Stegostoma tigrinum: one gene and its partners. The protein of the gene in region 2 interacts with the protein of the main gene of each other region in a pairwise test. Links are inferred from orthologs where the notes say so. Each region holds a gene or a part of one and is shown on either strand. Other genes may lie near its edges.

Region 1 (6,912 bases), on a different chromosome or scaffold from region 2:
AACTCTCTCATACTCAGCCTAGAACCTGGAAAATTAACCCCTTTCAAACTCACTCACTTACAGATTTCCGTCTATGAACAAAATGTTGCATCCCCTGTTGGTCAAAATCTAATACAACAAATACAGTCTAATTATAAAATGCATGGACTAAGTCAGAACCATCAGTATCACTAACAGTAGCAACAAATCTGGAGAAATACTCGAAGCTGTTTTGCATCTTCTGCAGGCCAGTCACCCACTTACAGCCAAATATTTTAGCATTACCTGCACCCTGCCATGTTTGTAGATTCTTAACAATACTGCACACTACAGCCCACCATCTCCCCACAAGTCAATAGGAAATCCTGACTAGGAATGCCACCAGTTCTAATACTCTAGCATAAAGATCTATGCAATCATAGAAATATCTCAAACCCCTAAATTTGCAATATGTCAGGAGTATATTATAGCATACACTGTGTACTCAAACTTGTTTTACTTGCATAATTTTCAAGGATATGGGCACTGTACAGGAGAATGGCCAATTCCTGCTCCAATGTTCCTATAAAAGGGTATATTCTTAAGAATAGGAATGTTAAATTTCTAAGACTGAAGGAGGAATGGGTAAATATCCCACTTCACTTCTCCCATGTCCCCAATATTTTTGGATCCATCAACCTCTGAAACCCATTGTTTTTGAACCTACAAATTCTCTTTCATTTCTAAAGACTGCTTCACTTGACATAATTAGCTGTATCAGAAATAACCTGCTCATATACTGTAGAAATATTACAAAGCAGATGAATATTGGATAGGGGATTATACAATTTGAGTGATTGGAATTGTAAGACAAAAACTGAAGAATGCATAGTTGCCACGTCAAAAGGTAATGTTCATTTACAGCTCATTCAAACATATCCTGTGCTCCTGCACATCAGACACCACCAGTCTTATCAGAGCACAATGTATTTAGTTTGAACAAAATCAGCATTGGTAAGAACACATCTAAAATACTACATACAGCTTTGCTTTCTTATTGGGGAAGGTTTATATTCACATTGGATGAAGTTTAGAAAGTTCAGAGTCACCTGGGATGAACCCATTCTTTACCCAGCAAAGGGAACAGGTTGGACCCTACTCCTTACAGTTTAGAAGGCTTTGAATCCTCTATGTTTCAATTAGATTCTAAGTGTGCCTGACAAGGCAAATCCTAGGAGAACGTTTCCCTTTGTGGGGAGAATCTAGAACAAAGAATAAGGGGTTTCAAAACAGAGAAGGAATTTCTTTTCTCTCAGAGGGCTCTTAATCGTTGGAACGGGAAACTGGGTTGTTGAATTTAATCACGGTTGTTAGAAATACCTTTGATCCTCAAGAAAATCAGGATTATAGGGGGTGCGGGGAGGGGAAGATTCTGAGTTGAGGCCACGGTAAAAAATTAGCCATAATCTTATGATGGAAGGTTCACGAGGCCAAATGGTCTACACCTGTTACTATTTCTTACGCCTTTATTCGCAACGTTAGCATAAATCTTCAGTGAAATTTGCAGTGGGAGGGACCGATCGTATGGACAAAGCGACCCCCAGAGACAAAACAGGTGGAGTAGGAAATTATAACTTGACAAATCGCAATGGGAAAGTTAAGTAACTTGTATATAAAATAAGCAAAGGCTCCAGTACTGGCGTTAGTTCTGACCTTGAGTGGAAGTTGATCCTAGAGACGAGATAGATACAGGAATCAATTCCGAGTGTCTATGGGTTACTCAGATTAGGGCGTGGTTTAGCCTCAAAAGTCGCGAATTGCTAACTGACAATCAGAGATCCTCGCCAATTTAATGCAGAATGGATTCTTCTCAGAGCTAACTCAGATCACTTATTCATGCACCTGACCTTTTATTTTGCATCAGCCAGCAACATTAATTTACTTGAAATGAAGCGTTAACTCAAATATCTATTCAAACGTCGTTGTAAACTGACTCAGTGTTTCAACAAAAAAAGACAAAAGTCACATTTGAAGCAGTTAATTATTAACTGAAATGTTGTGGAAAATGTTGATTCAATAGGAAACAAGTCCCATTACCTCAACAAGTTTTCAAACTATTGCACAGCGGAGAGAGCAAAGACCCCTCCTCAGAGTCAAGTACAGAAGCTTGTGACTTGGGTCCCGACACTGTTCCCAATCCTGAAGGGAGTATTTCCTTTAACCTGATAAAGGAACAATTTCTTAAAATCAGTCTAAGTGAGTTTAGTTTTAAAAATGAAAGACTAGGTGTGAGATCATTTCGTAACATTCAGTGAAGGGGTTAATGTGAAGATTTCTCAGGTGAGATCCGCCTGGGGGTCACAATTGTTTGCTAAATGCAGCCGGTCAATGCCGGGAGCACTTCCGTAGGATTTAGGCAGAGCTCCCGACAATATAAGTATCGAACATCTACTTATTGCAACCTCCATAGGAACGGCGTTGCTGGCGGAAATGAGATAGTCATACGCTACAGCCGACTCGCCCAGAATTTACCTGCAGACGCCAAGCTGTAACGTTTTTTTTAAAAAAATCAACACCCTACCCCCTCACCATTTCCAGCCGGAGCATTCGGATCTTCTCGGCCAGCCCCTGGGGCAGCTTCTTGTTCTGCCCAGGGAACAGCGCCGCCTGGTCCCCGCTCGGCCCAGCAGTGTCCACCTTCTCCCCGGCTAGCCGCGCTGCGTCCTCCCGCAACCACCGCAGCAAGCCTTCTGGCGTCTTACGTCCAACCTTATTTTCCAGATCCTTCAGATCCGGCAACAATTCGCTCGCACTATCTTCCATGACAAGATCTATGAATCGATGTGTTGGTCCAAAGGGATTCAGTCCGGTTAAAACCAAGCAGACTAGCTCTGTTCCCCACCAGGCACCCTCCCTAGGATACACATTTCCCTACTGAGCCTCTGTCTTCCCCGGCCCCGGCGCCGCTTCACACCAATTTCCACCTGCAGGCATCGCTGAATGAATGAATGAAGAGACTGCGGCGAAGACAGCTCCGGCTCTGTCACCCGACCCTCTCTACCGTAATGGAAAGAAACAAAGCGCCACTCAAAACCTACCCCCGCTCACGCTGCCCTGGCCTTGTGCTATTCCCCAGTGTTCGGAGGAGACAAAAACGGAACTCCGCCGTCAATCCAACTGCCGTTCCAGTCCCAATGTCACCACTAAACCTTCTTCCTTTCCACTTTGTGAGTGAATGCAGCACAAGGGCATATGAAAAGGATACAGCCACCAACAGTTCGCAGATTTCAGGTTGCAGAGCAGGAGGCCATTCAGCCCTTCACGTCTGAACCGGATTTTCTAAGGAATGTCTAATACGGTACTATCTCTCCGTAATCCCGCATGTTATTGATCAGATAGCTGTCTGATTCCCTGTTGAATACCTTGGTTGAATTTATCTTCATCAAATTCTCAAGCAAAATTCGAGAGCCTGCCTGCTCGTGAAAGTACCTTGACTTTTTTTTCCCAGTTAACCTAAAACTGTGTCCTCTGTCTCTTCGCAAGCGGCAACATTTTCTCACTGCTTACTCCGTCCAGACCTCACGATTTTGAATGCTTCCAATCAAACCTCCTCTCAACTTCTCCAAAGGAAAACAGTCCTTACTTCTCCAATCTATCTTTTTTTTCTGCACCTTCCCCAGTGCACGCACACAGCCTTTCTAATATGCAGCGTTCAGACCTGGACACAGGGCTCTAGCTGAGTCAGAAAAAGCATCTCTGCAACTGATCCCTCACACTCTGTTCCCACAATAACCGCCGAAACAGAATCCCCCTCCTCCTCACATACCACCCCACCAACCTCTGGATACAACGCATCATCCTCCAACACTTCCGCCGTCTGCCATCCGACCCCAACATTTTCCAGATATTTTCCATCCCTACCCTTGTCTGCTTTCCAGAGAGCCCACTCTCTCCGGGACTCCCTTGTACGCTCCATACTCCCCTCCAACCCCACCACTCCTGGAACTTACCTCTGCAACCACAGGAAGTGCTACACTTGCCCCACACCTCCTCCCTCCACCCCCATCCCAGGCCCCAAGAAGACTTTCCACATCAAGCAGATTTTCACCTGCACATCCGCCAATGTGGTGTACTGCATCCGCTGTACCCAGTGTGGCTCCTTCTACACTGGGGAGAGGCTTGGGGACCGCTTCGCAGAACACCTACGCTCGGTTCGCAGTAAACAACTGCACCTCCCAGTCGCAAACCATTTTAACTCCCCCTCCCATTCCTTAGACAACATGTCCATCTTGGGCCTCCTGCAGTGCCACAATGATGCCACCCAAAGGTTGCAGGAACAGCAACTCATATTCCGCTTGGGAACCCTGCAGACTAATGGTATCAGTGTGGATTTCACAAGCTTCAAAATCTTCCCTCCCCCCACTGCATCCCAAAACCAGCCCACCTTATCCCCACCTCCCTAACCTGTTCTTCATCTCACCTATCCCCTCCTCTCACCTCAAGCCAGACCCCCATTTCCTACCTGCTAACCTCATCCCGCCCCCTTGACCAGTCCATCCTCCCCGGACTGACCTATCCCCTCCCTACCTCCCCACCTACACTCACCTTTAATGGCTCCATCCCTGCTCTTTAACTTTTCTGTCTCCTCTCCACGTATCTTCTCCTCTATCCATCTTCGATTCGCCTCCCCCTCTCTCCCTATTTATTTCAGAACCCTCACCCCATCCCCCTCTCTGATGAAGGGTCCAGGCCCGAAACGTCAGCTCTTGTGCTCCTAAGATGCTGTTTGGCCTGCTGTGTTCACCCAGTTCCACACTTTGTTATCTCATACAAGTTTTGGGTCCCTTTAGATAAAGCCCAGGATAGCTTTATTATCGGTTCTGCTATCTTTAATGAACATGCACATTCCGTTTAGAGTTGTACCCTTTATATTTTCTCTCCTTGTTCTTCCTGCCAAAACCTTTAACTTCCCTGCATTGGACTTCATTGATTGCCGCCTCTGTCTATTCCTCAATGTTTCTATGTCCTTCTGAGGTTCACTACAATACTCCTCTCAATGAACCATGCATCCAAGTATCATATCATCAGCAATTTTTGAAAGTGTGCTCTTTGCACAAAGATCAAGATCATTAATATGTGTCAAGGAAACCTGGGGAATCCAACAGTGCAAACTATGGCCAGCCTGGAACTCATCCATTAAAAATTTCCCTTTGTTTCATATTACTCAAAATTATTGTATTCATATTGATACTGTGTCATTCGTTGAGATCTAACTTTCTTCACAAGTCTGTTGTTTGAACTGTCTCTTCTAGAAGTCATGTATACTACATAAACTGCATTGCCCTCAAGAACCGTCTGTTACTACTTTTAAAAAAATCAGCAAGTTAGTCAGACATGTTGTGCTCTTGAGAAATTCCCTTAAAGTGCCACTCAAAACAGTGGTTGCCTCAGGATTGCAGTGGGCTTTTACCGGAGGATTGATAAGGAATCCTTTCCAGCCAGGTTACAGGGCTGGGATGAGATTGCCAGGAAGGAAGAGGTTGACAATGGCTGGGTCGTGGCTTCTTATGAGTACACCCTCCCTACCCTTTCCAATTTCAGGTCTCTCAATCCGTCACAGGATAGGCTTACAATGAGGGCCCCTGTGGTATGTCTCATCCGCCACAGAAAGCAAAACCTGAAACTGATTGACTAACAACAGTGTCAGGATGAAGCCATTAAGTTGCTCCAAAATAGCTACTTAAGATCCTCAACTGGTGTCCAAGAGGAATGGCCAACTTCAGACATTCTTGGACTTCAGTGGAGAGAGGTAGGAAGGTGGTGGAAACTCAACCCCTCCCACCTGATCATATGGATGTTCTCTCCTCCCTCTCACATTCTTTCTCCCCTCCCCATCAATCTACTTTACTCCTCCCCCTACTGCTTCTGCCATGTTCAACCTTCTCTCTCATCCCCTTCCATTCCCATTCCTGTCTTACACGTGACTCCAGACCCACAGCAAGGTGATTGATTCTTAACTGCCTACTGATATGGCCCAGCACACCTCTTAGTTCAAGGGCAATCAGGGATGCTCAACGAATGGTGGCCTTTTCAGGGAAGTCCCTGTCCCGTGAGAGGAAAATGGGCATGGAATGATACAGTATAGAAGAACATCATTTGACTCATCATTCTTATACCAAAGTGAAGCTATTCAGTTTATCTCATTCTTCTGCTCTTTTCCAAACATTTTCCCTTCAAATGTTCACCAAATATCCTTTTGATTGTTTACTATTGAATTAATTTTCACCATTCTCTCAAGTGATGCACTCCAGGGCTCCACTCACTTACTACCTATGATTAATGATGAACAGAATTTGGAATCCACTAAGTGGAACTATGTAACATCTGAGTCAGACAATGGAGCTGGCACAATGACACAGAGGCTATTGTCAAGCATTACAGCTTCTAAAATTAATGAATAGTATAACTAACCTCAAAGTACTATTCATTAGATGCAGGTTTTACACAAACTCTGTTCGTTAATTTTGTGTAAATATTGAAATATAAATATTGAACCCTAAATCATTGTTGATGCATTCACCGAAACATATAAGACAATGGGCTTTAGGCTAAACATCCGAAAGACAAAGGTCCTCTGCCAGCTTGTTCCCATTGTACAGGACTGTCACTAGAACTAAACTCAACCCTAATGTGACGGTCAAGATCTATGGCTAGCCTCTGGACAATATGAATCACTGCTTCACTGGAACAAAGATTAAGAGAAAATTCAACATCACCTCCAGTATGCCAGCACAGCCTTTAGACACCTGAGAAACTGAGAGTTTGTTAAGAAAGACTTCAAATCTGACATTGAGTTCATCGTCTGTGGCAGCAATATTACTTACATTCCTGTGCGCTTCAGAAATATGGACAAGGCACAACATACATCTCAAATCTTTAGTGAAATTTAACCAA
Region 2 (7,881 bases):
GAACATTCCCAGGACAGAGACAGGACGGGGTTAGGTACTGGGTTGAAATCCTGGATATCCTTCCTTCATGGTATTGCCCATCTACGTACTGCACATGGACTGCAGCGGTTCAAGAAGGCAGGTCATCACCACTTCTCAAAGGGGCAACTAGAGAAGGGCAATAGATGCTGGTCCATGCCCCCACAAGTGAATTAAAAAAAAACTCCCTCTCTAACAATAGAGCCTTTCCTGAGATAAGGAAACCAAAACTGTACTCCAAGTGCAGTCTTAGCAACATAATCGAAGCAATACAGAACTGGCTCGATGGTAGGAGACAGAAGGTAGTGGTAGAGGGTTGATTTTCAGACTGGAGTCTTGTGACCAGTAGTGTGCCACAAGGATGAGTGTGGGGTCCACAGCTTTTCATCTTTTACATAAATGGTTTGGATGTGAACATAGGAGGTATGGTTAGTAAGTTTGCAGATGACACTAAAGTTGAAGGTGTAGCAGGCAGCGAAGAAGGTTACCTCAGAGTACAATGGGCCGAGGAGTGACAGACAAATTTAATTTAGACAAATGTGAGGTGCTGCATTTTGGAAAGGCAAATCAGGGCAGGACTTATACACATAATGGTCAGGTCTTGGGGAGTTGAGCTGAACAAAGAGATCTCGGAGTGCAGGCTCATACTCCCTTGAAAGTGTGGTCATAAGTAGACAGGGTGGTGAAGAAGGTGTTTGGTACAGTCGCCTTTATTGGTCAGTGCATTGAGTGTAGGAGTTAAGAGGTCATGTTGCAGCTGTATAGGATATTAGTTAGGCCATTTTTGGAATAATTCTGGTCTCCCTCCTACAGGATGTTGTGAAACTAGAAAGGGTTCAGGAAACTTTACAAGGATGTAGCAGAGTTTGAGCGATCGTGAGAGGCTGGGGCTAATTTCTCTGAAGCATCAGAGGCTGAGGGGTGACCTTATAGAGGTTTATAAAATCATGGGGGGCATGGATGGGGGTGAGTAACCAAGGTCTTTTCCCCCAGGGCAGAGGAGTCCAAAACTAGAGGGGCAGAGGTTTAAGGTGAGAGGGGAAATATTTAAAAGGGACCAAAGGAGCAACATTTTCAGGCAGAGGGTGGTGTATTTACAGAATGAGGAAGTGGTAGAGGCTGGTACAATGACAACATTTAAAAGGCATCTGGCTCGGTACTTGGATAGAAAGGGTTTAGAGGGATATGGGCCAAATGCTGGCAAATGGAACCAGATGAATTTAGGCTAATCTGGGTTGGCACGGACAGGTCGGGCTGAAAGGTGTCGTACGTCTCTGTGACTCAAAGGCTTCATGACTCCTGGAGTCAGAAATGGGGGCAGACACCCAGCCAAGATGGCTTCCAGAGTGAAGGAGCCAAGTTGCTCCGAATGTTCCTGTGTCAAGAACGGGCATGAGGTGCACTGCAAGGCAGTCAGCAGCGAAATACAAAAGGAATACAGCCTTGGGGGACATCATCACAATCTATTTGTGCTCACGGGCGTCAATGTGTTGTGACAGCTGCTGGCCAGATTCCTGCTGGGGCTTTATTTTTGACTGACTGAGATAACTTGACAGGAATAGATCCACCTTAACCTATTGTAAAAACCTTCTGGCACAGGGGTTAGATGGTGGGCAGCTTGATCAGATGTAGCTCAGAAAGTAAACCCACCCTAAAATATTCCAGGCAACCGCTGTGGGAAGTATCCTTTGTATAAAGGATTTGGGTGCGAATATAGGAGGAATGGTTAGTAAGTTTGCAGATGACACCGAAATTGGTGCTGTAGCGGACAGGGAAGAAGGTTACCCCAAAGCCCAGCAGGATCTTGATCAGAAGGGGCCGAGGAGCAGCAGACGGTGTTTAATTGAGATAAATGTGAAATGTGGCGTTTGGTAATGCAAATCAGGGCAGGACTTATACACTTAATGGTAAGGTCCTGGGGGAGTGTTGCTGAACAGAGGTGCCTTGGAGTGCACGTTCATAGCTCCTCACAAGTGGAGCTGCAGGTAGACAGGGCAGTGAAGGTGTTTGGTACGCTTGCCTTTATTGGTCAGAGCTTTGAGTACAGGGAGTTGGGAGGGCCATGTTGCAGCTGTACAGGACATTGGTTAGGGCTACTACTGGAATACTGCATTCAATTCTGGTCTCCCTGCTGTAGGAAAGATGTTGCTAAACTAGAAAGGGTGCAGAAAAGATTTACAAAGATATTTGCTGGGCTTGAAAGGTTGGAGCTGTAGGGATCTGTTTCCGCGCTGTACAACTCTACCTTCCTTCTTGAAGCCTGAAAGTACTTGACCTCACCCACACATTGGGATTCACTGGCAAGGCTGGTACTTGTTATCCTACCGTAATGCGAGGGAGTTCTGGACTTCCTCCCAGCAACAGCGACGATACAGCTACAAGCAGAGAGGCTGTGTGGATAGCAGCGGGGAGAAAGGGAAGGAGCGATACTCCTGCGCATGCTCACTGCCCTCACCGAGCCCAGAGGGCACAGACTTGGCCGGGTGGGGGCTGACGGAGGACCCATTGGCTGTCCGCCCAGATGCCGGCTAAAGAATGGCCAGAAAACTGGCCTCCCCCGTGTCAGGAAGGGCACCACAACATAGGATTGGGAAGAGGCCCTTCAGTCCCTTCAACAGAGTCCACCATTCAATGAGCATGGAGGGTATGCGTTACAAGGAGAGGCTGAGATTATTCCCTGAGTTCGAAGGCTGGCCTTATTGACGTTTATTAAATCATGACGGGTTTAGATATGATGAATGGCAGGTGACATTTCCTTAGACTAGGGGCAAGACTAGGGGGCATGTTTTTAAGGTGAGAAAAGGACACAAGGGGCAAGTTTTTATTTACACAGACAGCGGTTCGTGCGTGGAATGAACATCCTGAGGAAGCGGTGGATGCAGGCGTAGTTACAACATTTAAAGGACATTTGAATAAGTACATTAATAGGAAGGGTTTGGAGGGATATGGGCCAGGAGCAGGCAGGTGGGAGCTAGTTTAGTTTGGGATTAGGGCCGGCATGGACTGGTTGGCTCGAAGGGTCTGTTTTGTGCATTGGGTCTATAAGAACACTGCACCATTCCCTTAGCTCTATCCACTCACTGTGGTTCTAGACCACTTGCTGATCAAAAGCCTGCTCAGATTCAGCTTGCTTATTTTGACAAAATTGCTGGCATGACAACTGTTGTGGCGGGAATAATGTTGCAGGGACCCATGCCCCTTTGCTGGGTAAGTCCTCCTGACTTCACCCCCAAAGAAAAACCGAAAGAACTGCGGATGGTATAAATCAAGAACAAAATCAGAAGTTGCTGGAAAAGCTCAACAGGTCTGGCAGCATCTGTGAACAAAAGATCAGAGTAAATGTTTCGGGTCTGGCGACCCTTCCTCAATGACCTTTCACCTCCAAAAGGCCTGGTTCACATTTCAAGCTCCTGCCCTAATAGTCCCCCCAGGGTTCGATTCCATCTTGGCAGTGCCTGCTCCCCCAGCATTGGCCCTCCCACAGTGCCAGCTCCCTCAGCACTGACCCTCCCACAGTGCCAGCTCCCTCAGCACTGACCCTCCCACAGTGCCCGCTCTACCAGCACTGACCCTCCGACAGTGCCCGCTCCATCAGCACTGACCCTCTGACAGTGCCCGCTCCATCAGCACTGACCCTCTCACAGTGCCAGCTCCCTCAGCACTGACCCTCCCACAGTGCCAGCTCCATCAGCACTGACCCTCTGACAGGGCCCGCTCTACCAGCACTGACCCTCCAACAGTGCCTGCTCCATCAGCACTGACAACCTGACAGTGCTCGCTCACTCAGCGCTGACCCCCCTGACAGTGCCCGCGCTCTCAGCACTAGCCCTTAGACAGTTCCTGCTCCCTCTGTGCGACCCTCGGACAGTGCCTGCTCCCTCAATGCTGACTCTCCGACAGTGCCAGCTCCCTCAGCGCTGACTCTCCGACAGTGCCAGCTCCCTCAGCGCTGACTCTCCTACAGTGACCGCTCCCTCAGCGCTGACCCTCTGATGGAGCTGCACCGTGCTGGCACTGGCCAGTCTGTCTTATTTGCTGCATTCTCTGGAACGGGTCTTGAACCTGTTAACTCCGATTCCGTGAGTGCTAACCTCGGAGCTCCAGCTGAGTTAGGCTGACATGTTAGATGCTTGCCTTGTGGACCTGGGTAAAGGTCAGATACAGTGCTTCTCAGTCCTCACCAAAGGTTGTGCCTTCAGTATTTCGTGGGGGGAGAAGAGGGGACCTGCTCCTGCAGGGAATTGGGGGAAAGAGAATGAGGGACTCACTCCTGTGAGGAGTGAGGTGGGGGGAGAATGGGGGACTCGATCCCGTGGGGAGTGGGGGGGGGGGGCGCAGAGAATGGGGGATTTGCTCCCACAGGGAGAATGGGGGACTCGCTCCTACGGGTAATGGGAGGGGTAGAATGGGGGACTCTCTGCCATGGGGATTTGGGGGAGAGGGGGGAGAATGGGGGATTCGCTCTAGTGGGGAGGAGGATGGGGAGGGGCCTTGCTCCCACAGGGAGTGTGGGGAGGAGAATGGGGGACTTGCTCCCTCGACGAGTCGGGGGAGAGTCAGGCCGGGGGAATGGGTTGAGGTGTCGAAAAGCTGAAAGAAGCCGAGCTTGGTATACATCAGAAGGTTATTCTGATTGGGTGCGGTGGAAGGGATTGAGTGATAGTTCCTGAGGTCGCTGACAGGGCTGAATGGTCCCCAACCAGGCTGTAAAAAAAAGCTTCTCAAGTCGGGCACCAGATGGAGTGTTAAAAGAAGAGTAAGGAGAGCAGCTGGCCTCTCTTTTAATAGAAAACAGTTGTCCACTGAAGTCAGAGGACGGCATCCAGCCAACCAATCATTGTCTGAACCTCGACAGTGTCCCACTGATTACTTAAAAATACTCCCAAGGTTGGGTTTCGGAGTCGAGGGGAGACTACATCAGTGTGGGAGAGCACAGGAGACTCACTGTACCACGGGCACCTTTTTCATCCTCTTCCTCTCTCTCTCTCTCTCGGTGCCCACCGGCGCTCACACACAGCTCGGCTGCCCTCGTCTGCCTCCGTTCCTCTTCCCCAGTCGTCGCCGAGGCCCACCGTACAAATCCAGAATGGAGGCCATCAAGAAGAAGATGCAGATGCTGAAGCTGGACAAGGAGAACGCCCTGGACAGGGCTGAGCAGGCTGAGGCAGACAAAAAGGCAGCAGAGGAGAGGAGCAAGCAGGTAAGGAGGGGGAGGCCTAGGCCTCATACTAGACACGACTCTGTCACTTCTAATTCAGTGGGAGCTCACTGGGCGGGATGTTGCGATAGCGAACGCAGTGCGACCCGTGCCACACATTCATTTAGACCCTCCGACAGTGCGGCGCTCCCTCAGCTCCGACCCTCCGACAGTGCGGCGCTCCCTCAGCACTGACCCTCTGACAGCGCCCGCTCCCTCAGCTCCGACCCTCTGACAGCGCCCGCTCCCTCAGCTCCGACCCTCCGACAGCGCCCGCTCCCTCAGCTCCGACCCTCCGACAGCGCCCGCTCCCTCAGCACTGACCCTCTGACAGCGCCCGCTCCCTCAGCACTGACCCTCAGACAGCGCCCGCTCCCTCAGCACTGACCCTCCGACAGCGCCCGCTCCCTCAGCACTGACCCTCCGACAGCGCCCGCTCCCTCAGCGCTGACCCTCCGACAGCGCCCGCTCCCTCAGCGCTGACCCTCCGACAGCGCCCGCTCCCTCAGCTCCGACCCTCCGACAGCGCCCACTCCCTCAGCTCCGACCCTCCGACAGCGCCCGCTCCCTCAGCTCCGACCCTCCGACAGTGCCCGCTCCCTCAGCTCCGACCCTCCGACAGCGCCCGCTCCCTCAGCACTGACCCTCCGACAGCGCCCGCTCCCTCAGCACTGACCCTCCGACAGCGCCCGCTCCCTCAGCTCCGACCCTCCGACAGCGCCCGCTCCCTCAGCACTGACCCTCCGACAGCGCCCGCTCCCTCAGCACTGACCCTCCGACAGTGCCCGCTCCCTCAGCTCCGACCCTCCGACAGTGCCCGCTCCCTCAGCTCCGACCCTCCGACAGCGCCCGCTCCCTCAGCACTGACCCTCCGACAGTGCCCGCTCCCTCAGCACTGACCCTCCGACAGTGCCCGCTCCCTCAGCGCTGACCCTCCGACAGTGCCCGCTCCCTCAGCTCCGACCCTCCGACAGCGCCCGCTCCCTCAGCACTGACCCTCCGACAGTGCCCGCTCCCTCAGCACTGACCCTCCGACAGTGCCCACTCCCTCAGCACTGACCCTCCGACAGTGCCCACTCCCTCAGCGCTGACCCTCCGACAGCGCCCGCTCCCTCAGCGCTGACCCTCCGACAGTGCCCGCTCCCTCAGCTCCGACCCTCCGACAGTGCCCGCTCCCTCAGCGCTGACCCTCCGACAGCGCCCGCTCCCTCAGCGCTGACCCTCCGACAGTGCCCGCTCCCTCAGCTCCGACCCTCCGACAGCGCCCACTCCCTCAGCTCCGACCCTCCGACAGCGCCCGCTCCCTCAGCTCCGACCCTCCGACAGTGCCCGCTCCCTCAGCTCCGACCCTCCGACAGTGTCCGCTCCCTCAGCACTGACTCTCCGACAGTGCCCGCTCCCTCAGCACTGACGCTCCGACAGCGCCCGCTCCCTCAGCACTGACCCTCCGACAGTGCCCGCTCCCTCAGCACTGACCCTCCGACAGTGTCCGCTCCCTCAGCACTGACCCTCCGACAGTGCCCGCTCCCTCAGCACTGACCCTCTGACAGTGCCCGCTCCCTCAGCACTGACCCTCCGACAGTGTCCGCTCCCTCAGCACTGACCCTCCGACAGTGTCCGCTCCCTCAGCACTGACCCTCCGACAGTGTCCGCTCCCTCAGCACTGACCCTCCGGCAGTGTCCGCTCCCTCAGCACTGACCCTCCGGCAGTGCCCGCTCCCTCAGCACTGACCCTCCGGCAGTGCCCGCTCCCTCAGCACTGACCCTCCGGCAGTGCCCGCTCCCTCAGCGCTGACCCTCCGACAGCGCCCGCTCCCTCAGCACTGACCCTCTGACACCTGCTCTCTCAGCGCTGACCCTCCGACAGCACAGAAACCCCAGATCTTTGCTTTGAAATGCTGAGTGGTTTTGCGTGCCTGGCTGAATTACCCCACACCAATCCTGCACTGGCACCTGCACTCACTATGCAGCGTCGTTGGCACAGAATGGTCATGGTTGGTAAGGTGACTGCTACAAGCATACTCTGTCTCAAGCCTGCACCTGAGAAGCTGCTCACAAGACTAGCCACAACTAGGGTAGGGCAGTAAAGTTGGTTTAGCCAACAACACCCACATTCCCCTAATTGATAAGCATAAAAATTGTGGGCTATCCAACTGTGGTGGGCATCACAGCAGAGTTCCAGCAGCTGCAGGGACATGTACTTCCACTCAGAAACGCTGGACAGTGATAGGAGAGGGTATCTGGGCTATCTCTGACCTTTAGGTGCTGAAGTCAGCTGTGGCGACCCAGGATAGCGCTGAATGCAATACACATTTGTGTGAAACAGGGCACATTCCAAAGCGAATGGCTGCAGTGAACATTAAACCCAAAGAAAGCCAAGCGAGAGCAGCGGAGATTTACTGGAAAGGCTTGGGGGATGAGGGCCTTCACTTGTGTGGACACTTAAACAAACTGCAAGCATTATTCTCAGAGCTGTGAAGGATAATGGCAGTTTTAACAGATCAGAGTTATGAGCGGACTTGGACAGAGTACAAAAAAACAGGTTCCTTCAACCGGCCACAAACAGAAAAATTGTGAAATATTTGTCAAATGGCAGCACAAGTCTTACTCAGTATGCTGTATCTCACTGTAACACTCTTACATATCCCACACTCCTTACTGTAACA
Region 3 (7,702 bases), on a different chromosome or scaffold from region 2:
GTTTCACACATGTGGAGTTAAGGGATAAACAAACAGGTAGCAAAAAGTTACACCATCAATTCTGCATCTCTTCAAGTCTTCCCTGTTCAGTACAAAAATATAAACAAAAATCAACTGCCATGAACCTTGGAATTATTATTGATGACCTAACAGTGCATCATATTTTGGCCGGTGATCCACATCTCATCAAGGAAGCAGTCAGTCAATGCTTTGACTTTCAGGTAAAAACAAAATGCCAGAGAAGTTCAACAGGTCTGGCAGCATCTGTGGAAAGAGAAACAGCTAATGATTCATGTTCATTCCGACTTCTTAAGAATGGAGCAGAGTCACATTGATTCAAAGTTAACTCTTGCTCTCTCCACAGACGCTGCCAGATGTGAACTTTTCCAACATTTTATGTTTTCATTTCAGATTTCCAGCAGTCCTTTGTTTTTACTTTGGTTTTCAATACTGCAGTTGTAACTTGAGCAAGAACAAATTAGTATAGAATTACAACACTCTTCATTGTCACATGCACTCGTACAGTGAAAAGTTTGTAATGTCACCTCTTGGCACATCTTAGGCACAGGCTATGTTCAGACAGATTAAGTGTGGTTACAGAGTTAAACAAAAGGTTAGCATAGAAACAGTTTAAAAAGTCCAGACTGATAATAGAAAGTGACCATAAGTACTTAAGGCTCCATCCCTCGTCAACATGAGTCCATGCTGCCTCCTCATGCCAGCCTCCATTCAGAACTGGCTGGGCTGCCCCTCGGGCTCTAATCCTCACCCATTCCACCGCCATTTGGGTACTGGCCTGCTCACTCCACCACCACAGGTCTCATTCTGCAAACTGCCCCGTGCTTACCCTGCTGCCGCTGCTAAACTCAGCTCCCACCCTGGCTCCAGCTGCAACTGGCTCCCACAACTCCATTCTTCAGTTAGGACAGGCAGTCAAAGGTCAAGGGTGGGGGAGAAGAAAAGCTACGAAGAAGACAAAAAACAAAAAAGGAAAAGGAGCATGCAAGTAAAGAAACTCCAATTGGAGCATCCTACTCTGCCACTGTCTTGAGCTTTTCAGGATTTTTTAAAAAACGTGGTGTTTTTAATGGTTTCTCTAGCCACTCTCTTCGTGATTGCTTTGACGAAAGAACATAGATTAGCGTCAGAGTTGTACAGCACAGAAACAGACCCTTAGGTCCAACTCATCCACGTCAACCAGATAGCCCAAATTAATCCATGTGGCTGCATTTTTACCCATATCTCTTTAAACCTTTCCTATTCATGTGGACATCCAACTGCCTTTTAAATGTTGTAATCTTGAATAAAACCAGAAAATGTTATATTTTCAATTAATCTAACAGAAACTGGGGAGAGAGAAACAAAGGTACCCTTGTTATGGTTCTGGAAATGAGTCGCCAATCTAAAAAGTCAACTACGATTTTCTCTCCACCTATGCTACCTCTTTCCAGCATGTTCTGCTTTTACTTCGTTCCAGCGTCCAGTACAGTATCCTTGTAGCGGTGGCCTCTGGACACCACAGTAGGATGGAGTGTCACCTTCCCTGATCAGACAGTGATGGATGAACTATGATGAAGGGTCTAGGCCCGAAACGTCAGCTTTTGTGCTCCTGAGATGCTGCTTGGCCTGCTGTGTTCATCCAGCTCCACACCTTGTTATCATGAATTCTCCAGCATCTGCAGTTCCCATTATCTCTGATGGAAGAACTACTTGTTGGCAACTCTCACAATCCACTGAAGCACGTACTGGTTTCAGATCGCGACGTGCAGCAGATCTACACAAACCGGCTGTGGGAAAAAGTATGAAACTTTTCGAGCGGATTGTCCAAAATTAAAGCGACGTGTCTTCGGAATCGACCCAACCGAAGGATTCTTCGTCGCTTCAACTCGGGCAGAAGCAAAAGTTTTAGGGAGCCCGGGGTTCACATTCTGTTCGGTGCAAGGCGTCAAACCTGCATTTTTTAAAAAAACGGTCAAAACGACCACGTCCACACATCTGCTTCGCGGTCTTTACAGGGGAGAAGAATGTAATAACCACCTCCAGACATCGCCTCCCACTGGATTCAACCAAATCTCATCATCACATTTTTGCAGCAGGAATACGAACAAAAATCTCCCATTTTTTTTGCGTGGGCCCTCACAATCAGCAAACGCGGTACGAAGCCAGTTTGTGGAGCCCAATTCCACTCAATTTGACAGAGGGCGGGAAAAAAAACCCACAGCCGGTTTCTTGAACGTTTAGTTTGACAGGAAAGATGTTAAAAATCCTTTCAGCTCATTGGAAACCGTCCGTCCGGTTTTGTGTACATCCTGACTCATCGAATGTAAAAAGGTAGACAAAGAGTAACTTAAAACAAAAAAAATCTCTCTCCCAGTTCCTTCAGCACTCGAAACAATTCCCCCCTCCCTCAAAAGCTTTTTAAATGAAGCGGAACATTACCCTACCCGTCCCCCCATGGTTTTAAATGAAGAAGGAACGGGGATCCACAAGTTGTCGAGAGACAACAGGGGAGAAGAGGGCGGGCTCCCGCCGTTTCCTTACCCCGCCATGGCCGCACTGGCGAGTAGCGACAGCAAACACAGCACATTCCTCACAGGGCCCTCTGACACCTTCCCTCTCGCAGCCTGCTCCCTCACTCCGTCGCTCTGCTTGCAGCCGGCCACGTTCTTCTTCCTCTGCTTCACTTCACTGGACATCTTGCAACTATAATCCCCGCCCCACGTTCAACACTTTCTCACCAAATTCCGGCGGCCAAGAGGCACTCCCCACCCCCGACCCAAACGCGCACCCGGCGAACATAAACCAGTCACTTTTGGCCTTTTTCTTTTGTCTCTCCAAGAGTTTCCTTTGACCCAATGAGATCTAAGATCTTGCGAGTTGACATGCTAGAGAACGGGAGAACTGTCAGTCTGTAGCAGACACGGGGTAATTGGACTGTAAATGGACTTTAATCCGCAGGAAATTTTCTGGGTAGCTGGTTTGACTCTCACCATGATTCAGTCATAGATCGGAATAAATGAGGACCGTGCACAATCTGCGTGAAAACCCATCTAGTTCACTCATGTGCAGTCTGATTCTTAGCTGCCCACTTGAAAAAATTGACCTCCCCCACCCCCTCCTATAAAGAATAATGGAAACCTAACACAAAACAAAGAACTGGGTATGCTGGACATCTGAAACACAAACAAAAATTACTGGAGAAACTCAGCAGGTCTGAAGCATTGGTGGGAAGTAAGCAGCTTTAAATTTGGAGTTCAATAACTCTTCGCTCTGCTGAAACCTGTTGATCCAGCAACAGCCCTCAACTATTATTGCAGCACTATGTCTCAAACTAGTCAAGCAATAGTCTGACAGTTATACCCAGGAAACCATACCTGCAACACTGGCCCTCACATTGTCTCAGAGGTGATGGCACAGTTATGCACAATCAGGAAGGAGTTTCCCTGGAAGTCCTCAACATTGAAGTATTGTGGCATTTTGTCAAATAAGTGCAAAGAAAACTCCTGCTGAATACCTTATACCATCCTTCCTCAACAGATAAATCAATGCTCCTTCATGCTGAACACTACATGGATGAAGCACAGAAGTAGCATGACAGCAGAATGGACTCTAGTTGGGAGACTTCAATGTTGACCAAAAAAAGTGGCTTAGCAGAACCACCGCTGACTGAGCTAATTAAGTCCTTAAAAAGCACAGCTGCTAGACTGGGACTGCAGCAAGAATTGAAGACAATCCAGTGCAGAACTAAGGAGAAGGCAAAACATCTTTCACTTCATCCTTCACACTTCACAGTACCTGCTGCTGTCCACTAATGCAGCTGTCCATGACAGCATTATGATCACAGTGCAGTTCTTGTGGAGAAAAGTCCTTTCTTCACATTGAGAATACTCTGTGTCATGATTGTGGAACTAAAAGGTAAAGTTGCCATAGTCTTACCAGACCTCAGTGGGAATGATGAATGGTGATTTAACCAAAGGGTCACCACAGCACAGATGAGGGGAGAGGTTGAGAAGAAGGTAATCTCAGCCAGTATCAGAATTGCACCTGCGCTATCCATGTCACCGTGTAAACCAAGCCAGCCATCCAGGCAACTGAGTTAACCAATCCCAAAATACCTACTACTATGCCAAATGGAGTAGACTTAAATGGATTTAGCAATTCAGGACTAGGTATTCCCGGAGATGCTGTGGGCCATCAGCAACAGCTAAATTGTACTCAAACATAATTTGTAAATCCATGGCCCAGCATAACCCCTACCATTACCAAATATCCTCCTCACTTTCACCTGGTCTATCTCTGACTCCGCTTTTTTGTGGTTAGGCTGTCTACCACTATCCACTACAAACCCACCAACTTAAGTTATTTTGACTACAGGTTATTGTATATTTAAGCTTCAGGTTTGTAGTTACTCTGTTAGGAAAATGTGAAATGGTGGTGTCTCTGTAGTTATGAATTTTGTTACCAGTTTTGAAAATGGGCACCACATTAGTTTGTTTACAGCATAGCAAGAGCTTCCAAATAGCCATTGACTCAAATGATCATTAGAATCTCAAACCAACATGAAGGGTCTAGGCCTGAAATGTCAGCTTTTGTGCTCCTGAGATGCTGCTTGGCCTGCTGTGTTCATCCAGCTTCACACTTTGTTATCATGAATACCATTGTTTCCTGTCTCCCATATATTGTACCTCTCTGAAAACTGTGTTAAGGTAACTGACAATACTACATCATTACATAAAGCAACTTCTTGGACGAATACTTGGGGTCTGCAGTCAATTATCGTCAGTGTTGGTTCCCTCACTATAGCAATGTCCAGCACTTCAAAAATCATAATCACTACAGCAAAGAAAAAAAGCCAGCCAATAAGCCTAATTGCATTTACACAAGCTCTCCAAATGAATTCATTTAGTTAATCTCAATAACCCGGTACATTGTTCCTTCTTGGTCCAATTCCCTTTTGGTTCCCTTGGTTCAATTGGACCTGTCTCAATCAATACATCAGTCAGTGCATTCTATAACTTAACCACTCATTGTGTAGAAGTCATTCCTCATATCACTATTGCGTCTTCTTACCAATTACTTTAAATCTGTACCATTTGTTCTGTATCATTTTTTCATGAATTGGAACAGTTCCTCCCCAACTACTCTGCCCAGGCCTTGTAGGATTCTGAATCTATTTAACCTTAATTTCAAGATTCAGGCTCACTCTGAGTACAATACTACTTAGAACAAACAAATGTTCACCAATTTATTAAGTTATCAAAAATAAGTGCAACGGAAACAGCACTTAGCCAGATGGCGGATGAAGCTACTCCATAAAAATATCATTATTCTCAGCTAACTAGAGTACAATTTATTTCTGCGCACATTACCACAGAAAAGGAAGCTTTATTAACTCTTTCTGAGCCACATTCCATAACATAATTAAAACCGTTTTGGAGTCCTGATTGGCCCAGACACTGCATGATTAGACTCTTAATTGCCTAGGTGATGCGCACACAATTCATAAACAGTTTAGGGTGAAATTTGGATTGCCTAGGTACTGTACGTCCAATTTCTGATTGGTTTCTTTTTTTGTTAATAACAGTCACCAACTGATATTTCCCATTATCTACTCATTGGTCTTTTAGATATTTTCGGGTCGACCTGATCAGAGAGTTTTCATCACACACCTTTGCAGCTAGTGGGTCATTAATCTGGGCCTTCTGGTTTCAGGGTTGGGACAGCACCATTACTCTACAAGACCCCTAGATAACAAAGTGTGGAGCTGGATGAACATAGCAGGCCAAGCAGCATCTGAGGAGCACAAAAGCTGATGTTTTGGGCCTAGACCCTTCATCAGAAAAGGAGGATGGGGAGAGGGTTCTGAAATAAATCAGGAGAGAGCAGGAGGATTACAAGAGAGTTGCAGTGGGAGAGAGATCCCCTGAGGATGGTCCGGAGGGAGGAGGGTAACTTCTTCAGGTTAGGCATCCCTGGAGGAGGCTTTGCAGTGGGGTTAAAATTGTGATCAGAGATAATGAGGACTGCAGACGCTGGAGAATCTGAGAAATCTACAAGACCCCTAATTGGTCTTTTAAGATGTCATTTACAAGGGCAGGGGGCATCCCTGTTTATTACAGCTTTGCCTATTATTTTATTGAATTTTGGTACTTACCATTGAGATAGCAAACCAATTTATGGTATCTCCTTTGCTGATTTATTAGAATGTATGATGGCCTGTTCTCATGAACTCATGGTCTCAGGCCTTGCTTAATTGAGGCACATTCCGAAATAAATAAAACACCTATCAGTTATTTTCTTTTCGAGGGCATCTGTTTATGTTCTTCATCTTGGTAGTGTTTGTTTGGAATAATTTATTTTAAAGTAAAGAACAGAGAGGAAAAGTTATTTGTATTGTACAACATAAAACTAATGCAGAAAACCATAAAATCAAAGAGTAGCTAATGTTAAAAGTTATTTCGACATTTGCAAGTGCAAAATAAAAATTGTATAAATGTGAGTCAACTGTGCACATTCAATCAATATATTGTTTCACTGATCAAAGTCTAGAAATTATATTGCTTACAAACAAACCAGACTTTGTTTCAGAATATTCTAAATACCATTAGCAAAGCATTTACTTGTTTTTTTTCCAAATATAGCCTATTCTTCTCATCAGCCTGGTCAGAATTTTTTATTACGTACCCTTGGAGCAGGGGGGACTTGAACTGAGGACTCCCAGTTCAGGGCTGGGGCATTGTCAGGAACTCTGCCACTGCACCACAAGAGACTCAGTAAAATATTTACTTGTTTTCTGAAATAAAACTAGAATATAGGCATTGTATCTCTTTCATTTGCTGATGATGCCAAGTTCTTGAGAGTAACTTAATGTGAAAGAATGTAATTGTTCAATCTTAACAGAATTTGTCAATTTTATTCTGCTTAAAACCCTGTGGGCATTCCTCTTTTCAGTGATTATATGTTTAATATAGTCTGAAATAATTTTGCTTTAAAATATTCATTCATAGAAAGTGGGCATTGTTGGCTTAGCCTAATTGTCTCTTAAACTGAGTGCTTTGCTAGGACCTTTTCAGAGGGCAGTTAAAAGTCAACCACCTTACTGAAGTTGAGTTTCATGGAGGTCAGATCAGGTAAGGGTGGTACACTAGTGAACCAGATGGGTTTTTAAAACAACAACCTACAATGTGGCAAGATAGCTACCAGGAAGCTAGCTTTCAATTCCTGATTACTTTTATTGAATTCAAATATTCTTTCAATATGGCGGGATTTGAACCCACATTTCCAGAACATTTGCTTGAGCATTTAGATTATTATTCCAGTGATATTATCATATTGCCACCACCTCCTGGTGATTTCAAGCCTTAATTACCTTTTAATACCTTATGATTCTAAATATCTTTATCAAGTTTCCTCTCAGCCTTCTCCAAGGAAATGTCACAATTTCTCCACTTTACTTGTACAATGCTTCTTTCAATCTGGTCTACTACATTCACAATGTGGTCTTCTTTAAATTGGCAAGAAGAAAATGCAGACAGGGTGACAGCTTTGTGAAACATCCCTGCTCTAACTGTAAGAATGACTTGGAGCTTCAAGTTGATTGTCCTTTCAAAAACCAGGTCACCAACCTCCACCACCCCCAACCCCCATCTTGTTTATGTCTTGTCAGCTTTGCTGTCAGCAGAGTGGACCCACCATTTTCTCT
Region 4 (7,596 bases), on a different chromosome or scaffold from region 2:
TAATGACTTGGATGAGGGGATTGAAGGATGGGTCAGCAAGTTTGCAGACGACACAAAGGTCGGAGGTGTCGTTGACAGTGTAGAGGGCTGTTGTAGGCTGCAGCGGGACATTGACAGGATGCAGAGATGGGCTGAGAGGTGGCAGATGGAGTTCAACCTGGATAAATGCGAGGTGATGCATTTTGGAAGGTCGAATTTGAAAGCTGAGTACAGGATTAAGGATAGGATTCTTGGCAGCGTGGAGGAACAGAGGGATCTTGGTGTGCAGATACATAGATCCCTTAAAATGGCCACCCAAGTGGACAGGGTTGTTAAGAAAGCACATGGTGTTTTGGCTTTCATTAACAGGGGGATTGAGTTTAAGAGTCGTGAGATCTTGTTGCAGCTCTATAAAACTTTGGTTAGACCGCACTTGGAATACTGCGTCCAGTTCTGGGCACCCTATTATAGGAAAGATGTGGATGCTTTGGAGAGGGTTCAGAGGAGGTTTACCAGGATGCTGCCTGGACTGGAGGGCTTATCTTATGAAGAGAGGTTGACTGAGCTCGGTCTCTTTTCATTGGAGAAAAGGAGGAGGAGAGGGGACCTAATTGAGGTATACAAGATAATGAGAGGCATAGATAGAGTTGATAGCCAGAGACTATTTCCCAGGGCAGAAATGGCTAGCACGAGGGGTCATAGTTTTAAGCTGGTTGGTGGAAAGTATAGAGGGGATGTCAGAGGCAGGTTCTTTACGCAGAGAGTTGTGAGAGCATGGAATGCGTTGCCAGCAGCAGTTGTGGAAGCAAGGTCATTGGGGTCATTTAAGAGACTGCTGGATATGTATATGGTCACAGAAATTTGAGGGTGCATACATGAGGATCAATGGTCAGCACAACATTGTGGGCTGAAGGGCCTGTTCTGTGCTGTACTGTTCTATGTTCTATATACCTTATACCACTTCCTTCTCAAATGATGTCTCATTCCCTTTTGAAAGTTACAAATGAATCTGCTTTCACCAGCTTTTAAAACAATGCAATTTGGATCATGCTAATTCACATTTCAGATCATGATAATTCAGTATATTAAAATAAACTCATCTCCCCTCCAGCACCGGTAAATCTTCTGGCATTTCTGAATATCTACACACACCCAACAAGAAATCGAAAAGTTTTTTTTCTTGAAAGTGATTGTATGATAAATTGGAAGTTTAAAGGATAACAGACCCATTTGAAAAATGAAATCGCTAAGATTAATCATATATTTTAATTATTATGGAGAGGGGCGATAACAGTGGGTGCAGTCTTCCGCTCATTTCTGTTTCCCTTACTGGTTCCTTCCCCACCTCTTTAACCTGTCTGTCTCCTCTCCACCTATGTTCTCCTCTATCCATCTTCTATCCGCCTCCCCCCGCTCTCTCTATTTATTTCAGAACCCCCTTCCCCTCCCCCATTTGTGAAGAAGGGTCGAGTCCCAAAACGTCAGCCTTCCGGCTCCTCTGATGCTGCTTGGCCTGCTGTGTTCATCCAGCTCTACACCTTGTTATGCTTGTTTCTGTTGTTTGTTTTAATTTGAGTGTTGTCAGCTTTTAATATTTCAGGTAGTGCACAGACATCAGTAGATGTATAATTTGATCATCTTCCTTATTTTCATTATTTTGTACCGTCATTCACGTTATCAGACAATCAAACTTGTCCCTGTGCGTTCCCTATTGATGTCATCAACACACCATTCAAATATAAACATTCGAATCTGTAGAATTTCAACTCAATGCCATTCTTTTTGAATTTTGATGTTCGGTTTTCAAATTAAAATATTTTCTGAAGGTAAGTTTCTCTTTTTGAAAGATGACAACATGTTTGTATAAGATTTGCACTATTATTTTCCGAAATATGTCTCTTCCGTGCAGGAACAAAGCAATACAAAAAAAACCCCAGGGCAATGCAGAGATAGCAAGAACTGCAGATGCCGGAGTCTGAGATAACACAGTGTGGAGATAGAGAAATACAACAGTTCAGGCAGCATCAGGGGAGCAGGAAAGCTAACGTTTCGGGTCGGGACTCTCCAGAAATTAAGAAGGGTCCCTATCCGAAACGTCAACCTTCCTGTTCCTCTGATGCCGCCTGGCATGCTGTGTTCCTCCAGCTCCACACTGTGTTATTCCAGGACAATGCAGCAGGATGCACTGAGGCGGTGAAGGTCCTCTCGCGAGAAATTGATGGAATTCGATCCGCACCAGTATGTAGATAGAAACTATTCCGCTTGGGAACCCTACAGCCCAATGGTACCAATGTGGACTTCACGAGTTTCAAAATCTCCCCTTTCCCCTGCTGCATCCCAAAACCAGCCCAGTTCGGCCCCGCCTCCCTAACCTGTCCTTCCGCCCACCTACCCCCGCCCCCTCCACCACAAGCCCCACCCCCATCTCCTACCTACCAACCTCATCCCGCCCCCTTGACCTGTCCCTCCTCCCTGGACTGACCTATCCCCTCCCTACCTCCCCACCTACACATCACCTTTACAGGCTCCATCCCCGCCTCTTTGACCTGTCTGTCTCCTCTCCACCTATCTTCTCCTTTATCCATCTTCTATCCGCCTCCCGCTCGCTTCCTATTTATTTGAAAACCCCCGTCGCCTCTCCCATTTCTGAAGGAGGGCCTAAGTTCGAAACGTCAGGCTTTCTTGCTCCTCTGATGCTTCTTGGCCTGCTGTGTTCACCCAGCTCTACACCTTATTATCTTATAAACATGACTTACCGGTTTATTCTAAGACGCTGCTGAATGAAACGCGAATCGTCCATAAGACCTGTACCTGAAATGAGCAGGACTCGAAAGATTTGTTGCATCGAACTGTCACAATCTGCGCCACAATGGTTCACAGGAATCGAATGGATACTGTATCAAATATTTAGATCCATCGCCTTGGAAACGGTCTAAGAGGCGTTCAGTGCTCATGCATCAAATATTGCCTTGAGGGATCTGTAGTTCATTTCTTCTTATCCTGTCTTTTCAATATAAGGGTGAGATCTAATTCCATATAGCACGGGGTCGGTCTCTGCTGTTTAAAATAAGATGGTGTAATTATAAGTTGCATTTATAAACTGACAATGCTCACACGCACTGAATGACCCTGGCTCCAAAACCACAGCAACTGCATTTATAAGGCGATGTTCACGTTGTGAGGCGTCTGAAGGCACTATACCGGGATATAAGCAGATATAATTTGGCGAGTGGGCACATATAGACATATTAAAGTAAGTGACCAAAAACTTAGGTAAGAATATAAAAAAAGATGGAAGAGGGAGGCAGGGTCGTAGAGAACACAAGACCTAGGTGCAGCAGTAGGCAATTCAGTTCCTCAATCCTGCTGCGCCATTTGATACGATTATGGCTGATCTCATCTCCTCGGCCTTCATTTTCCTGCCCACTCTCCTCAACCCTTCATACCATTACTACTTTAAGAATCTATCTCCCCAAATTTGCTCAATGTCCCAACATCTTAAAGGGCATAGCAGCAGAGATAATGAATCCATTGATTATAAAATTTCAAAATTCTCTGGATGCTGGAAATGTTCCAGTGAATTGGAGAAATGCTAATATTGTGCGACTACTCAGAAAGGGAGAAAGGCAGGCACTGGGAAACTATAGACTGGTTAGTTTTAATTTCTGTAATTGAGAAATTGTTAGAATCTATTATTATGAAATAACAGGATATTTAGAAAGTCAAAATGCAATCCACCAGTGTCAGAATGGCTTTAAGAAGGGTAAATCATGTTTAACCAATTTGCTAAAATTAAGACCATAAGACTATAGATATAGGAGCAGGATTAGGCTATTTAGGCCACCGAGTCTGCTCTGCCAGCCATTCGATCACGGCTGATTTGTTTCTCACCCCCTATTCTCCTGCCTTTTTCCTGTTACTTGACCTCCTTTTCAATCAAGTATCTATCTATCTCTGTCTTAAATACACTCAACAACTTGACCATAACCTTCTTCAGCAATGCGTTCCACACAATCACCACCCTGTGGCTGAAGAAATTCCTCCTCATTTCAGTTCTAAAGGGCCATTCTTTCACTCTGAGATTGTGCCCTTGAGTCCTAGTCTCGCCTACTAGAAGAAACATCTTCTCCATATCCATTCTATCCAGTATTCTTTAAGTTTCAGTGAGAACATCCCCCCATCCCCTCATCCGTAGCTCCATGGAGTACAGATCCAGAGACCTCAACGGCTCCTCACATGACAAGCCCTTCATCCTCAGGATCATTCTTGTAAATCTCCTCTGGGCCCCCTTCAAAGCCAGCATGTCCTTTAGATATGGGGCCCAAAACTGCTCACAAAATTCCAAATGCAATCTGACCAGAACCTTATACAGCCTCAGCAGTACATTTCTGCTGTAGTATTCTGGTCCTCTCGAAATGAAAGCTAACGTTGCTTTTGCCTTCCTAACTGCCAATTGAACCTGCATGTTAACCTTAAGATTATTCTGAACTAGCACTCTCAAGTCCCTTTGTGCTTCCGATTTCCAAAACCATTCCCCATTTAGAAAATAGTCTATGCTTCTGTTCCACCAAAATGCATAACCTCACACTTTCTCACATTGTATTCCATCTGCCACTTCTTTGTCCACTCTCCTGGCCTGTCAAGTCCTTCTGCAGCTGTCCCACTTCCTCAACACTACCTTTCCCTCTGCCTATCTTTGTGTTTTTTGAAGATGTAACTTGCAGAATGGATATCTAGATCGAGTATATATGGATTTCCAGGAGGCACTTGATAGGTGCCACATAAAAGGCTAACACGCCAAGTCAGTGACTAAAATATCAGCTTGGATTGGCTAAACAGCAGAAATCAGAGAATCAGGATAAATGAGTCTTTTTCTGGCAGGCAAGATGTAACTAGCGGGGGCCACAGGACTCGGTCCTTGGGTCCCAGTTATTTACAATCTATATTAATGACTTGGATGCAGGGATAGAAGGTACTGCAGTCAAGTTTTCTGATGACATAAAAAAGGTGGGAATGTAAGTTGTAATGAAAAAAAAATAAATTTGAAGGGGCCAAAATTTGGCAGTTAAAATTTAACATGGATATGTGTGAGGCATCCATTTTGATCAGAAGAATAGAAAGACAATGTATTACCTATACAGAGAAAAACTTCAGAATGATGAGGTGCAGCTGGATCTGCATGTCCTTGTGTGTGACATGCATGAATTGCAAAAAACTATGGAATTTTGACATTTATTGCTATGGGAATAGAGTATAAATGTACAAAAGTCTTCCTGCAACTGTATAAGTCATTAATGAGACAAAACCTGGAATATTATGTATGATTTTGGTGCCCCTACGGAGGGATGGAGTTGCATCGGAAGCAGTTTGGAGGAGGTCCACTAGATTGATTCCACAGATGAGGGGTTTGTCATATGACATGAGATTGAGCATTTTATCCTTACAGTCAGAAGTATATAGATATTAAAGAAGATGTACAAAATAGATGTAGTGAGGATATTTCTGTTTACGGGATAATCTGGAATGAAAGGCCATAATTTTAGGATAAGTGATAGCTAATTTCAAACAGAGATGAGGAGGAAGTACTTCTCTCAAAGGGTCATGAATCTGGAATTCACTACCCCACAGTGTGGTGCACTGAGTAAGTTGAAGGAGGAGATTGCTTTTTCATTGTAACTGGTTGAAGGGCTATGGAAAACAGGCAGGAAAGTCGAGCTGAGATCAGCCATGATTGTATTGAATGGCAGAGCAGGCTCGAGCATAAAAATTATTTGTAATAAATGGAATAGCTGGTAATTTTATTAGATTTTATTGTCACATATACTCGAGTTCAGGAGTACGGTGAAAAGTGGACAAAGTCGTCATTTCCCGGCAACATCTTAAAGAATACAAAAAAAAACAGGATTAAAAAACAGAAGCAGAGATAAAAGAAACAGCCAAAAGAAAAGGAAACACCCCTCCAGACCCCCACCGCCTCTGCCATGTGTCCTTGTTGCCAGGATAACAAAGCCACAAAGTATGTCCATAGTCTGCAAACACTCAGGTGCCCCGAGACCCGCACCCCACCGCAGCTGGAACACCAGCTCCCACCGCTGTCAGATACCAGGGCCCAGCCATGGCCCAGTGTCACTGCTGCTGGAACCATTCGTCAGTGCTACCTTGCCTCCACAAACGTTGTCGCCACCGTGAGTCCACGCTGGACAAATCTCAGCAATGCAGCCACCGCTGAAGTTGCCGGGTCCCGAACTGGGCTCAAACTCACTGCCACCTCCGACGATCACCGTTTCAGCAAGAAATCTGCTGCTGCCATCATTCCAGGCAGGAACCATTCCTACTGCTGTCGAAACTCCGGGAAGCCACCGTTCCCACAGTTGCCGTCCCCCGATTACGGTTGGCTGCACTACAGTTCAGGCTGTCCTTCATGCTTCCAAGGTTCCTGCTTCTTACTGCTGATGTTCGCTCTGAGTGAGTAAATAGATCTTAATTAAAGTTAGGTATCCGGATCATGTTATCATCTTTTACTGTTATCATTTATTTATATTATGTGTATTTCCAGTGAATAATAATGTATGTCCATGAACTTCCATATTGGAATAACCTTTCCCATGAAATGGCCAATCAAGGCACTGAAAGGTGAACAAGGGGGAAGTGTCCTGGCCCTGGCCCTGGATGCCAATGGGAAAGATTTCTGCACTTACAGGAATGTCCCTGGTATGGCCGTTCTGATCTCCCAAGGTAGTACACCACACCAGATGATTAGAAACAGAACGTAAGGGGCAGTGGAAAGAGAAGGGGATTCTGGGAGGTGACGCCTCTGAAAATGAGGAGACAAAACCAGCACATTTAAGCAATTTAGAGAAACCTATTGGGATATTGGGATGAATTGTGAAAAACTTGGATTATCTTGGCAAAATCAGCATGTCTGGTTCCCCAAGGGAAAAAGCCATGCCGGAACTGAAACACACGAATGACAATCTTAAATTTGAGCTATTGTTAGATAAGCAAATAATGTAAGTTAGGGAATATGAGAGTGAAGCAACGATCTTTCTTCTTGAATCATTTCCAGTTGCAGAGTAATCAATCAGTATTCTGCTAGAGACTGGAAAAATCCCTCTGCTTGCCTCACCAGTTTGAGATCGATCTTCAAATTCAAAATTAACGTGTGATTGAGATTTTGGCTGTTCTTAACTTCTTTGTAAGCACAAATCAACCTGTAACATTTTGGGAGTCAGAAGGTGAGTTATGTGCTGAAGAGTTCCAATTCTTTAATGTTCTTGTACCTATTTACATGGTCTAGTTAAGTTTCTGATTAATGGTAACTCGTGAACAGTGCCAATAGGGATTCAGTGATGGTAATATCATTGATTGTCAAGAGAGATGTTAGGTTTTCTTTTGATGAGATAGTCATTGCCTGGCACTTTTTTCATGCTGCTGCTTATCAGCCCAAGCCTAAACATTGTCTAGGTATTGCTGCAGATGGGCACATAATTCCTTCAGTACCTGAAAAGTTCTGATTAAAACTGAGTAGTGCAATCACCACCAAATATCCCCACTACTCTCTTGGATGCAAGGTTGCTGTTGAAAGCCTGAAGGTGATTCTCCATAAGACACTACCCC

What was found. The genes of interacting proteins can lie anywhere in the genome.
Region 1: the proteins of tropomyosin alpha-3 chain (region 2) and lurap1 interact in binary tests that used the Homo sapiens proteins (3 or more experiments, as listed by UniProt). The two-hybrid records come from large-scale screens. The link is inferred for Stegostoma tigrinum from reciprocal best matches to the Homo sapiens genes TPM3 and LURAP1.
Region 3: the proteins of tropomyosin alpha-3 chain (region 2) and inhibitor of nuclear factor kappa-B kinase-interacting protein-like interact in a two-hybrid assay, tested with the Homo sapiens proteins (2 studies listed by BioGRID). The two-hybrid records come from large-scale screens. The link is inferred for Stegostoma tigrinum from reciprocal best matches to the Homo sapiens genes TPM3 and IKBIP.
Region 4: the proteins of tropomyosin alpha-3 chain (region 2) and lebercilin-like protein interact in binary tests that used the Homo sapiens proteins (3 or more experiments, as listed by UniProt). The two-hybrid records come from large-scale screens. The link is inferred for Stegostoma tigrinum from reciprocal best matches to the Homo sapiens genes TPM3 and LCA5L.

Annotation. Positions count from the first base shown.
Region 1 is NC_081361.1:65,212,578-65,219,489, reverse strand, and holds the start of lurap1 (leucine rich adaptor protein 1), read right to left. Parts: upstream 3,019-6,912; 5' UTR 2,782-3,018; coding exon 2,548-2,781; intron 1-2,547. UniProt on the Homo sapiens protein: Acts as an activator of the canonical NF-kappa-B pathway and drive the production of pro-inflammatory cytokines. Promotes the antigen (Ag)-presenting and priming function of dendritic cells via the canonical NF-kappa-B pathway.
Region 2 is NC_081400.1:4,429,292-4,437,172, reverse strand, and holds the start of tropomyosin alpha-3 chain, read left to right. Parts: upstream 1-4,874; 5' UTR 4,875-5,104; coding exon 5,105-5,218; intron 5,219-7,881. UniProt on the Homo sapiens protein: Binds to actin filaments in muscle and non-muscle cells. Plays a central role, in association with the troponin complex, in the calcium dependent regulation of vertebrate striated muscle contraction.
Region 3 is NC_081378.1:35,460,273-35,467,974, reverse strand, and holds the start of inhibitor of nuclear factor kappa-B kinase-interacting protein-like, read right to left. Parts: upstream 3,019-7,702; 5' UTR 2,697-3,018; coding exon 2,542-2,696; intron 2,532-2,541; exon of another isoform or gene 1,371-2,531; intron 1-1,370. UniProt on the Homo sapiens protein: Target of p53/TP53 with pro-apoptotic function.
Region 4 is NC_081365.1:19,150,007-19,157,602, forward strand, and holds the start of lebercilin-like protein, read right to left. Parts: upstream 3,019-7,596; 5' UTR 2,791-3,018; exon of another isoform or gene 2,736-2,790; intron 1-2,735.